2 linked regions of the Drosophila melanogaster genome follow. The protein of the gene in region 1 interacts with the protein of each later gene in a biochemical or structural test. Each region holds a gene or a part of one and is shown on either strand. Other genes may lie near its edges.

Region 1 (5,298 bases):
AGTTAAGTGTAAGTTCAAAAGTATTTCATTCCCTTGGATATTCCCTTCAGTAGGGTGCATGTTATAAAATGATTGGGTCCCATTTTTTTCAAAAATCCCTAATATTTAGTTTCGTTTGGAGATATATAGTATTTTTTGAATCATAAATGATTAAGCTTTGGTATTTATTGTCCTTTTAACGGCCTAGCCGGTGGATTTGCAAATAGGAAAATAAATATAAAAAACAAATTGGCGGGAAACCATCTCATTACTAAGGTGAGCAAATTAACCTTTTTTTTACATTATCAAATGTTCAAAGTAGCGGTGGTTACCGAAATATGAATCAATATTAATATCAATGTTCTTTCTGAAAAAGAGACCCAGCTAGATTCTAAATAAATGGTTGAGTTGAGTATTCAGGGGCATGAGCCAGGTACAGTTGGCCTGGGGCCGTACCTCAAAGTCCAACTGGAACGAGGCCTCCACGGTGGAGGTGTCGATGCTTCCGTAGATGAACTCCGGCGGATTCATGCCGGCGTTGGCGCGCTCGTACAGGCGTGCTCTCTTCGGCTGGGTGGTGCTGTAAGCGTCGTTCATCATCATTACGGAGAGCCGCTTGCGCTGGGCCACCTTGTTGACCTCGTGATCGCTGCAGCGCGGGTGGATGTGGGCCAGAACGACGTCCACGACGACGTGGCGCGTCTTGTCCAGCGGATCGGGCAGCATGGTGCAGATGCGGGACTTGCAGGGAGTGGACTTGTCCTTGCGCCTGTTGCACAGCCATCGGTAGGTGTTATTCCGCCCGATGCGATCGAAGTGGTACAGATAGTCGTCCACGCAGAGCATATCCACGCCCTTGGCGGAGCGCACCACGGACACCTTGGTCAGGTCCATGCCGTGCTCCTCGACGGGCGTCTCCATTTTTGAATTGGTGCGCTGTTTGGCCCGAGCCCGGAATTCAGCGTTTTTCGATTTGCCCTCGAAAAGTGTTTTGTATCGTAAATTAGGCGATTTTTTTAGTGGCTGGCTGCCTGGGATTTGTTGGTTGGGATTTTTGGTGGTATTTCGTCAGCTCACTATTTGCGCGCCTTTTTGCAAACGCCGGCCATTTACCCAAACGCACTGATTTATTGCAGTTTGATGCACTAAAAGGGTTTATATTTGGTTTTTATCACTCGATTTTAATTGCACAAGCACATTTTCTTTTGCGACGCGTCGAAAAATGCTTTTGTGTGGGATACGAGGGCTGCGAGCTATGCGGTGGCGTTGCCACTTATCAAAATCGGTTATTTTTGTGACGTTCAAAAATTGTAAATATTGATGTTTATTATTCACTTACAGTTTGGTGAGATTTTTCCCGTTGGATTCCCAGGACGAGGAGAGCGTGGGCGATCTTCTGCTACAAATTGACAGTATCTTGCAGTACGGCGAGGATGCAGACGTGAACGTTAAGGACTTTGATGAACCGGAGGAAGGGGATCAGGATTGAAAAAAATCAATTTTTCATATTGCTTAAGAAAATGTACAATATTTTATTTTTAATAAAAAATTAAATCTAATCAAAATGCATGTCTAGCACCATCCCTGACCGCAGAGTTGCCACTGGTACAGTGTTGGACAACTGCTGCCGTAATTTTAAATTCCCCTACGCGTACGGCGTCTAAACAAAACTGCGATTCTAAGAACGAATATAAAAGCATGCAGGAGGCTGGCGAAAGTCCTGTTGGAATGCCTCTGAGCCAGGAGGCCATCGCACAGCGTCTCGCGGCGCTTAGTCGTTGGCAGGACGAGCAGAAGCGGCTGCTGCAGGAGCGGCAGTCCAATCACCGCGTTTTGCTCGGCTTGGAGCAACGTAATATGTACAAAATGCTGGGACTGCTACACCAGGAAACGGAAAGCCATGAAAACAGTGTGCTGGAGGAGTGGGACGAGGAGCACTCTATACAAATGCCGCGACTCGCGGCGGATCCGGACGAGCACGAGCCAGAGATTTCAATGGCTGATCCCCAGCCGGCCAAGCCTAAACGCCCTTTTCTGCGTCGCGGCGAAGGTCTAAAGCAGCGGTTCAAGATCAATCCCGACCAGCTGCGCCTGGAAAACCTGCCGCGATACAAGTTCGCTAATGCCCACCCTCAGTTCCGCACGCCTCAAATGAAAAAGGGTATTCTCAAGAAGCAAGTCAAGTCACCTCCCAATCCTGCGCCTCCACCAGCTCCCAAACCCTCAGCACAGCTCGACGATCTCAACGAGCAGCGCTTTCAGCAGATGCTTATCGGCAAGAACGCCTGCAGTTCCACTCCAGATCTAAAGTCTTCCTATGCGTCCTCCACAACCGCCTCGAGCACCTCGCCCAGAGTTCGTTTTGTAGAGCAGAAGAGCAGGGCGGGACAAACCACTCATGCCGATGATGAAGCCTCCTCGGAAGCTAGTCCCATGACAGGAGTTTGCTGGGCCAAGGTGCTGGACACACAGAGTATAAAGCCAGCGCAAATCCAAAGACGCTCTGCTCAAATCCGAGTGGAAGATGACAGCAATGTAAGCATATTCGAGCTGCTCGAGCAGAAGGCCACTGAGGGAAACATTGATATGAACTCCAGCTGCATTCGAACCTTTATGGCGCGCAAAGATCAGCGTCGCCGAGTAGCTGATGACTCCGATCACATTGTAGTCACACAGCAGGTGCGTCAGATGCGATTGCAGCCACAGGTGGACCAGATGCTGGTGCAGGAACTGCAGGAGGGGGACGAGGAGGACACCGAACCGTCCAGCGATCAGACCCTCACAATGACACCCATCCAGGTGGGGAATACTAAAGTGCGAGTGCGTTTCTCCGACTCCAATGACACGCACGAGTACTCCGATGCCACCAGCCTCAACGACGGCTCCAATATTCAGCTCTTTGAACAGTTCAAGTCCGCCCTCTTCCAGGCATTGGAACAGAAGAAGAAGTCAAGTCCCAGCAAGGAGTCAGACGAACCCATAACCAAAGATCTTCAGGAGAAAGCCAATCTCGTTCGCACTCGCCTCGAAGAGCTGGAGACAGAGATAGCCACCTTCAAGGAGCAGAATGCCCAACTCCTTCGCCTGAGGCAGCAACACGAATTGGAGAAGGCAAAGTGCACACAGGATCACATGGAGGCCATGGAACGCGTCCATGACGAAAAGATTCAAGCTGAAATTTATCTGCACGACGAGCGCATGAAGATTGAGGAGGAACGACGCAAGTTCGAGCAGCAAATGCGACTTCAAAAGAGCAATGCAAACAGCAAGGAAAAAAAGGAGATAGCCGCCTTGAAACAGGAAGTGGAGGGACTGCAACTCCAGCTCAAACAAAAGGAGCAGGCGCATGTCTCGGCACAGGCACGACTCCGCGCTCAACTGCGGGCCAGTGAGAAGGAGCAGCGAAACTACCGTGACGAGATCGAGCTGCTGCGCAAGGAGAACAAGCGCCTAGAGCAAGAGCTGGTCAAGATTGGCCGCGAAAACAACAGCAAGATGCTGCAGGAGATCAATCGAAACATAGCCCGGCTTGCCCCCAAAGTGGTAAGTGCATGCTTGTGTGTATATCGTAATGTAACTAATGTCTTCATTTAGTTACCTTCCGCGACAATGTCCGATATCCTCGATGAGAACGGTCGGCGCACCCAATCTCTGGACGGCACTGCTGGTAAGCCTGCCAAGCAGCGAGAGGCGCAAAACCGTCGTCAGAGTAGCGGCAGTGCCCAAGTGAGAAGTCGGAGTCGCTCACTGAGCAGGAATAAGAAAACACCATACGCTCTGGATGAGAGCTACGCCTCTAGTAGTTCTGTGGAATCGGAGGAAGTTCAGCCGCCCGTGACCGCTCCGAAAGCTGCTACCCCCCCACCGGCTGCCAACTCCAGCAGTGACTTTAAGCGGGAGATTACGAATGCGGATGGGAGCAAGGACATTTGGTACCCAAACGGCAATCTAAAAAAGATAAGCGCCGATGGCATGAACTTGCGCATGCTCTATTTCAACAAGGATATCAAGGAAACTAACATCAGGGAAGGCACAGTGAAGTATTACTACGCTGAGACCAACACTTGGCACACCTCCTACCTAGATGGCTTGGAAATACTCGAGTTTCCCAACGGGCAGACGGAACATCGCCGCAAGGATGGCACTGTTGAGATTCACTTTCCCAACAACAGCATTAAGATTGTGGATCCCAGCGATACGGAGAAACTGGAGGAGTGGCGTTATGCGGATGGAACCCATCTAGTGCAGCTCCGGAATGGTGACAAGATTCTCAATCTGCCCAATGGCCAAAAGGAGATTCACACCAAACTAAACAAGCGAAGGGAGTATCCGGACGGCACTGTGAAGCTAGTGTATCCGGATGGCAGCCAAGAGACGCGCTACTCCAACGGCCGCGTTCGTTTGAAGGACAAGGATGGCAAGCTCATAATGGACACAGACTATGCCAAGTATTAGAGTCGGGTCTCTGCTTCCGTTGTTAAGTAAATTAACTTAAGTTTTAGATAAATAGAAAAGACGTGCTATTTTTAAAAGATCATCGTAATATTCTTTTCTTGCTGATAAATGGGAAATTGGCTCTATTTTAGATTATTATATATATTGTTTGGTTTTCAATTTGTTAGATCAAATGTAGTAAATTATTCATAGAATGGTATTCTACTCCGCGTTTACTCCTTCTTGGGCCATGGAGAGGTGATGGCCGAAGACCTTGGGATGCTGATTGAGCAGCTTGGAGGCGAATTGCACCATTTGCTCGAATGTGAACTCCGCCTTGGCACGTGGTCCCCAAAGGAAGAAAGTCTTGGAATCATCGTAAGCACTTAGCTGTGAGCGTTCCCGCTTCAGATATTGTTGCTTCACAAACGTCTCCTCGATCTGTTTGCGCAGATTGGGGCCGAAGTAGCCATGTTCTTCGTCTGGATAGATGTTGAGCATCTCCAGCATAACGTACAGTTTCGAGTCCTCGATGCGGTTGCCGCGCAGGAAGATGTACATGAGAATAATATACAGCAGCGTGAACTGCGGCCGTTGAGCCGGCGTCAGCTCGTGAATGGAGGCCACCGGCTCCTCCGCAGTGCAGATGAACGTCTTGGTGGTCGCGTCCAGTGGGGTTAGTATTATACCGAATGTTTCGGCCAGCAGATTAGTGACCAGCGGCAGGCGTTTCTTCAGTTCGCTCTTGTCCCCAGCCACCGCTATCAAATCCTTGTCCTTTATGGGAATCTTCTGGGCGGTATGATCAAGGATGTAGTTTAGAATGGCGCGAACCTTGGCGTCGACCACATCGACGGGTTGTTGCGCTTCCTGCGAGGGGATGGC
Region 2 (4,175 bases), on another chromosome or scaffold:
TAACAAGTTGGTTATATGTAGTTTAGATATCTCATTCTTTGTACAGGCTTCCCCATACGGGCACAACATCGAACAGGCGACACAAAGCTATAACATATGTGTACATTTTCGCGATTCTAGACAGAGATAGTTGGTAGATTGGTGTAGTTTAGTCAGTGTTTAGTACTAGGCGGGAAGTTAGGATAGCTAGATAGTGAGTCACACTACGCATTAACATATGTGTTATTTTGTGGCACATGTAAAGAACCGAACGCAGGCATTGGTTTCATCGATCGCATTGCTGATTAACTTTCCAGCCGAACTGGAAGCCTTGACGCGAACAAGTGCAAGGTTATTAACTGACCCCAAGTGGGCGTGGTGGTGGGCGGTGGGCGCTACTTGTGCCAGCACATGGAGAACCCGAGTTGTGTGCAAAAAACACTGCTCAACTCGTTGGGAACACCGAAAATTAGTTTTTTATGCAGAAATAGTGAAGGAGAACACACACACAAACACACGAAGGCGTACTGCGCCGTGTGGTTAGCAGAGGGATTATAGTGGAAAAGTGAAGTTTTCGACGGATGCACACACAACACATAACTATATTTGCACACTATTTGTTAATTACCAGCTCCGGCTTATATGTTTTTTTTTTTTTTAAATCTCGAACTCTACGGGCTAAAATCGAGCAAAGTTGACGAATAAAAGTGGATACACACCCAAACTAGTGATGTGCCGCGCGGCGATAGTTCGGGTGCGTGAGCGCACCCGCATACCATCGCTAATATTCGCGCAGAAAAACATACAATACGTATCAGTTTTTAGTTCCATGCGCTCTGCAAAATGATGGCCAAGGACAAGGGTCTGGCTGTGGCCGGAACGGCGGCCCCCTTACCGGCCGCCCTCGACCACGAGTGGTCCGCCGAGGAAGAGCTGCAGCTGTTCCATGCAATGGAAGGCCTGCGCCCGGTGGGCATCAACAAGCACTTCTACATGTCCTGCATTGTCCAGCGTCTGTCCAAGTCGCTGAACCGTGAAATGCCCAGCGAGCTGATCTGGCGCCACCTGGGCACCATGTACAAGCTGAAGGAACTGGACGATCTGGAGTCGCTGCCCTTTCCCAACGAGGAGCGCGAGTTCAGCCTGCCGGAGCAGGATTACGGAACGCTACAGACCAAAAAGACGGTGGAAGTGCATGCCAACGAGGAGGCTGCAGAGGCACAGTCGGCCCCTCCAACAGCAGAGACCAATGGCAAAGGTAGTTCGTTAGTTATCATCAGGATTCATTCACTTGTAATGTTGTTTTACAGCTCCACCTGCAACCAAAACGCCGGTACCGACGAATTCCACCAAGGACGGCGACAAAAAGCCCGTCGCCAAGCCCCAGGAGCAGCTGCCCAAGCGTCCGGCCAAGCGCACACGCGGCTCCATGTCCAACGAGTCCATCAGCCCCTCCACTACGCCGCCGCCGGTGCAGAGCAACAAGCGCCGTCGCATATAGGTGACCCCCGCCCGAAACTGACGATTGTTGATCCGTTTTAGCTCATTAGTTTTACTGTACTCTAATAAAAGGATTTATTCTTCGAAATCGTTGTCCTCCTCGTTGGAGCCGTTCCCGTTCTCCTGCGCCAGAACCTCGGTGGCCTGCATGTTTTCCAGGAGCGATTTGAGAAGGCGTCGGTTGAGATGGTCGGTCTGCGTCAGTTCCCGGACTGCCTGGGGCGGAGCATTCTCGTCTGCCGGTGCAGGGCTGTTCTCAGCTGGAGTCGGAGTCTCTGCCATGGCTTTGATGTGCTCCAAAACAGGCATTTTTCCCCCGAGAAATTTCAGCTTTTGCTATGACACACAGTCCGCTGGGTGACTCGTGCACTTGGAAACTTGGCTAAGTGTAGGGTACACTCGATAAAGTATCGATAAGTTGGCGTTTTACGTCAGCCCTAGTTCCACCCCTAAGTCGATCGACTTCCAATTGGACAGATTCTCCCGCTCGAATTTAATTTAATCGGCAAATATAAACAAATACGCTCCAAATGTTTGTTCCCGAAACGGAGGATATGCTGCCCAGACTAGCGCCCAGGCCGAGTGCAGCAGTGCCCATGGGCCACACCAATGAGATTATAGGGCCCACCGTGCCGGAGGTATCCATATTGTTTGGCCAGCCGCCGCAGGATCCGCAGATGCAGCCGCAGCAGCCAAATCATGCACATCAGGAGTCATCCCCTCGTGCTGCACCCACCTTCGCGTCCTGGAAGAAGCAAATGCTGCCCAGGGTCAACTTTTCGCCCATTTTGGCCACAGAACTGGGTCCTCGCACCGCTCCCAGCAGCAATAGTCCGTGCTCCTCGAAGGAATACCAAGTAATGCCCCGGGATCGCAACTATGCAAGCGATGCGCAGCAGACTACCAATCATATGAACTGCAATGCTGGTGGCTATAATGCCGAGCCCAAGCAACAGGCATATCAATCTAGGCGCTTGTCCAGCTCCTCCAACGCAGATGTCCTCACCATCTGTGCTGGCACACAGACCGATCCCTTCAACCCATCTCCTCCGCGAAAATCACTGCCCCAGGTTGTCTATTCCGACATCGACGTCAGCAACTTGGCCAATAAGAGTGATCTGGCGGCTCTGGTATCCCTTGTGGAGTCCGTGCGCCATGAGCAGCAACAGCTTCGGAATCTCTGCGAGATGATTTTGGAGCAACAGCAGCGAGCGAAACCCGAAGCCATTTCAAAAGCCAGCAGTACCACTGGCACCCAGTGCGATATTCTGACCACCAATCAAGGTGCGTACGTTGAATCTGTATGAAAAGAATCCAATAAAACATCCTTCCTAGCAGGTAGACGCTTGTCTCCCATTATGCAGGATTACATAGCAGAGGAGGAGGAACCATTGCCGCCGCCACAAGCACGAGTGATTCCTCAGTTTCCGTCTCCTCGACCACATCCGCCGATCGCCCAATCTACGGGCTACCGGGCCAATACGCCTCAGGCGAAGCGGATCCCTCAACTGGCCAAGCCCAACACCGAGAAGAGCATGGTGATGAACGAGCTGGCGCTGAAATACTTGCGCCAGCCAGTGGATGAGTTGATGAAGGATATGCGCCTGGGGGCGTCGCCGAAGTCCCCTAATCCAGAGCCACTGCGTCCGATCGACAACATAGGCCACGCGCAGAGTCCAAACGACATATCCAATGCTTCGTACAAGTATCTCAAAAAATACCGTCTGCTGCCCGAGGAGCAACTGGAGCCGGTGTGTCCACAATCTCCCATGGCGGCGACCGCCCCTTCGCCACATATTCAACTGGACTTGGAGAATATCAGGAACCAGCCGAAGCTGTTGTGAAAGCATGTACAATGTTCGTTTTGTTATTTATGCATATGTCTATTTGCGATTTAAGTGGAAATATATTTCAATACACGGAATAACGTTGACAATCTTCTGGTGATCCCAGCCTAAACTAACGTAGAGAACCACTCTTTGTATACAAAACATTTTGTGTTTGACATCGATATCTGAAGACACAATAAGAATATACGTTTAGTGAACTTGGCTGCGATCCGGCGACGGGGCTCTAACGCAGAACCAACTGTAGCTCGGATGCGGATTGCAGTAGGACCTTCAGTCCCTGCATAAAGCCCGCGCACTGCGCAAAGTCCGTTCCGAAGGCGATTTGCGTGTGGATTTCCATAGCATTGGCATAGTCGGATATTTGAATGTACTGAACTATTTGATTCAGATATTGCACCGTGGTGGGAGTGAGCTGGAATTAAAGTAAATGCCATTTGAGAATTGCAATTGAATCGCGATCTAAGGCAGCAGCTCTCACCTTTCCATCTCTCAGGCAGTCGTAGAGATTTTCGAGCCTCTTGACAACATCGACAAACTTTCGTTTTGTGCGCTTAAAATGTAAGAAAATTTATAAACAAAAGTAAGTTATTCCTTTTGTCTATATGGATCATTTATTAATAGACTTACCGGATCATTGGTTGCGCCCAGGCAGCGGTTCTTCAGCTCCTCCAGCACAGTCTGCAAGTAGATGTACTCCTCGGGGAGTGGTGGCTTCTCCTTGGGCGGCGCCGGTTGGCGCTGTTGCTGGATGGGCGCTGGCTGCTCGGTATAGCCAATGGTTTGCTGTTGTCCCTGCCAGTTTGGCTGCTGAATCCCAGGGGCTGGCTGCTGAGGCTGGAGATATGA

What was found.
Region 2: the proteins of Sas-4 (region 1) and ana2 are reported together in a solved structure, tested with the Drosophila melanogaster proteins (one study listed by BioGRID).

What each region holds. Positions count from the first base shown.
Region 1 is NT_033777.3:7,149,731-7,155,028, forward strand, and holds Sas-4 (spindle assembly abnormal 4), read left to right. Parts: upstream 1-1,636; 5' UTR 1,637-1,677; coding exon 1,678-3,522; intron 3,523-3,573; coding exon 3,574-4,434; 3' UTR 4,435-4,489; downstream 4,490-5,298. Other genes in the region: CG2656 (uncharacterized protein), read left to right, coding at 1,321-1,468; gfzf (GST-containing FLYWCH zinc-finger protein), read right to left, coding at 436-900; MAGE, read right to left, coding at 4,636-5,298.
Region 2 is NT_033778.4:8,897,955-8,902,129, reverse strand, and holds ana2 (anastral spindle 2), read left to right. Parts: upstream 1-1,918; 5' UTR 1,919-2,009; coding exon 2,010-2,763; intron 2,764-2,814; coding exon 2,815-3,323; 3' UTR 3,324-3,401; downstream 3,402-4,175. Other genes in the region: MrgBP (MRG/MORF4L binding protein), read left to right, coding at 823-1,237, 1,290-1,480; CG13751 (uncharacterized protein), read right to left, coding at 1,555-1,788; Sec31 (secretory 31), read right to left, coding at 3,553-3,741, 3,808-3,879, 3,957-4,175.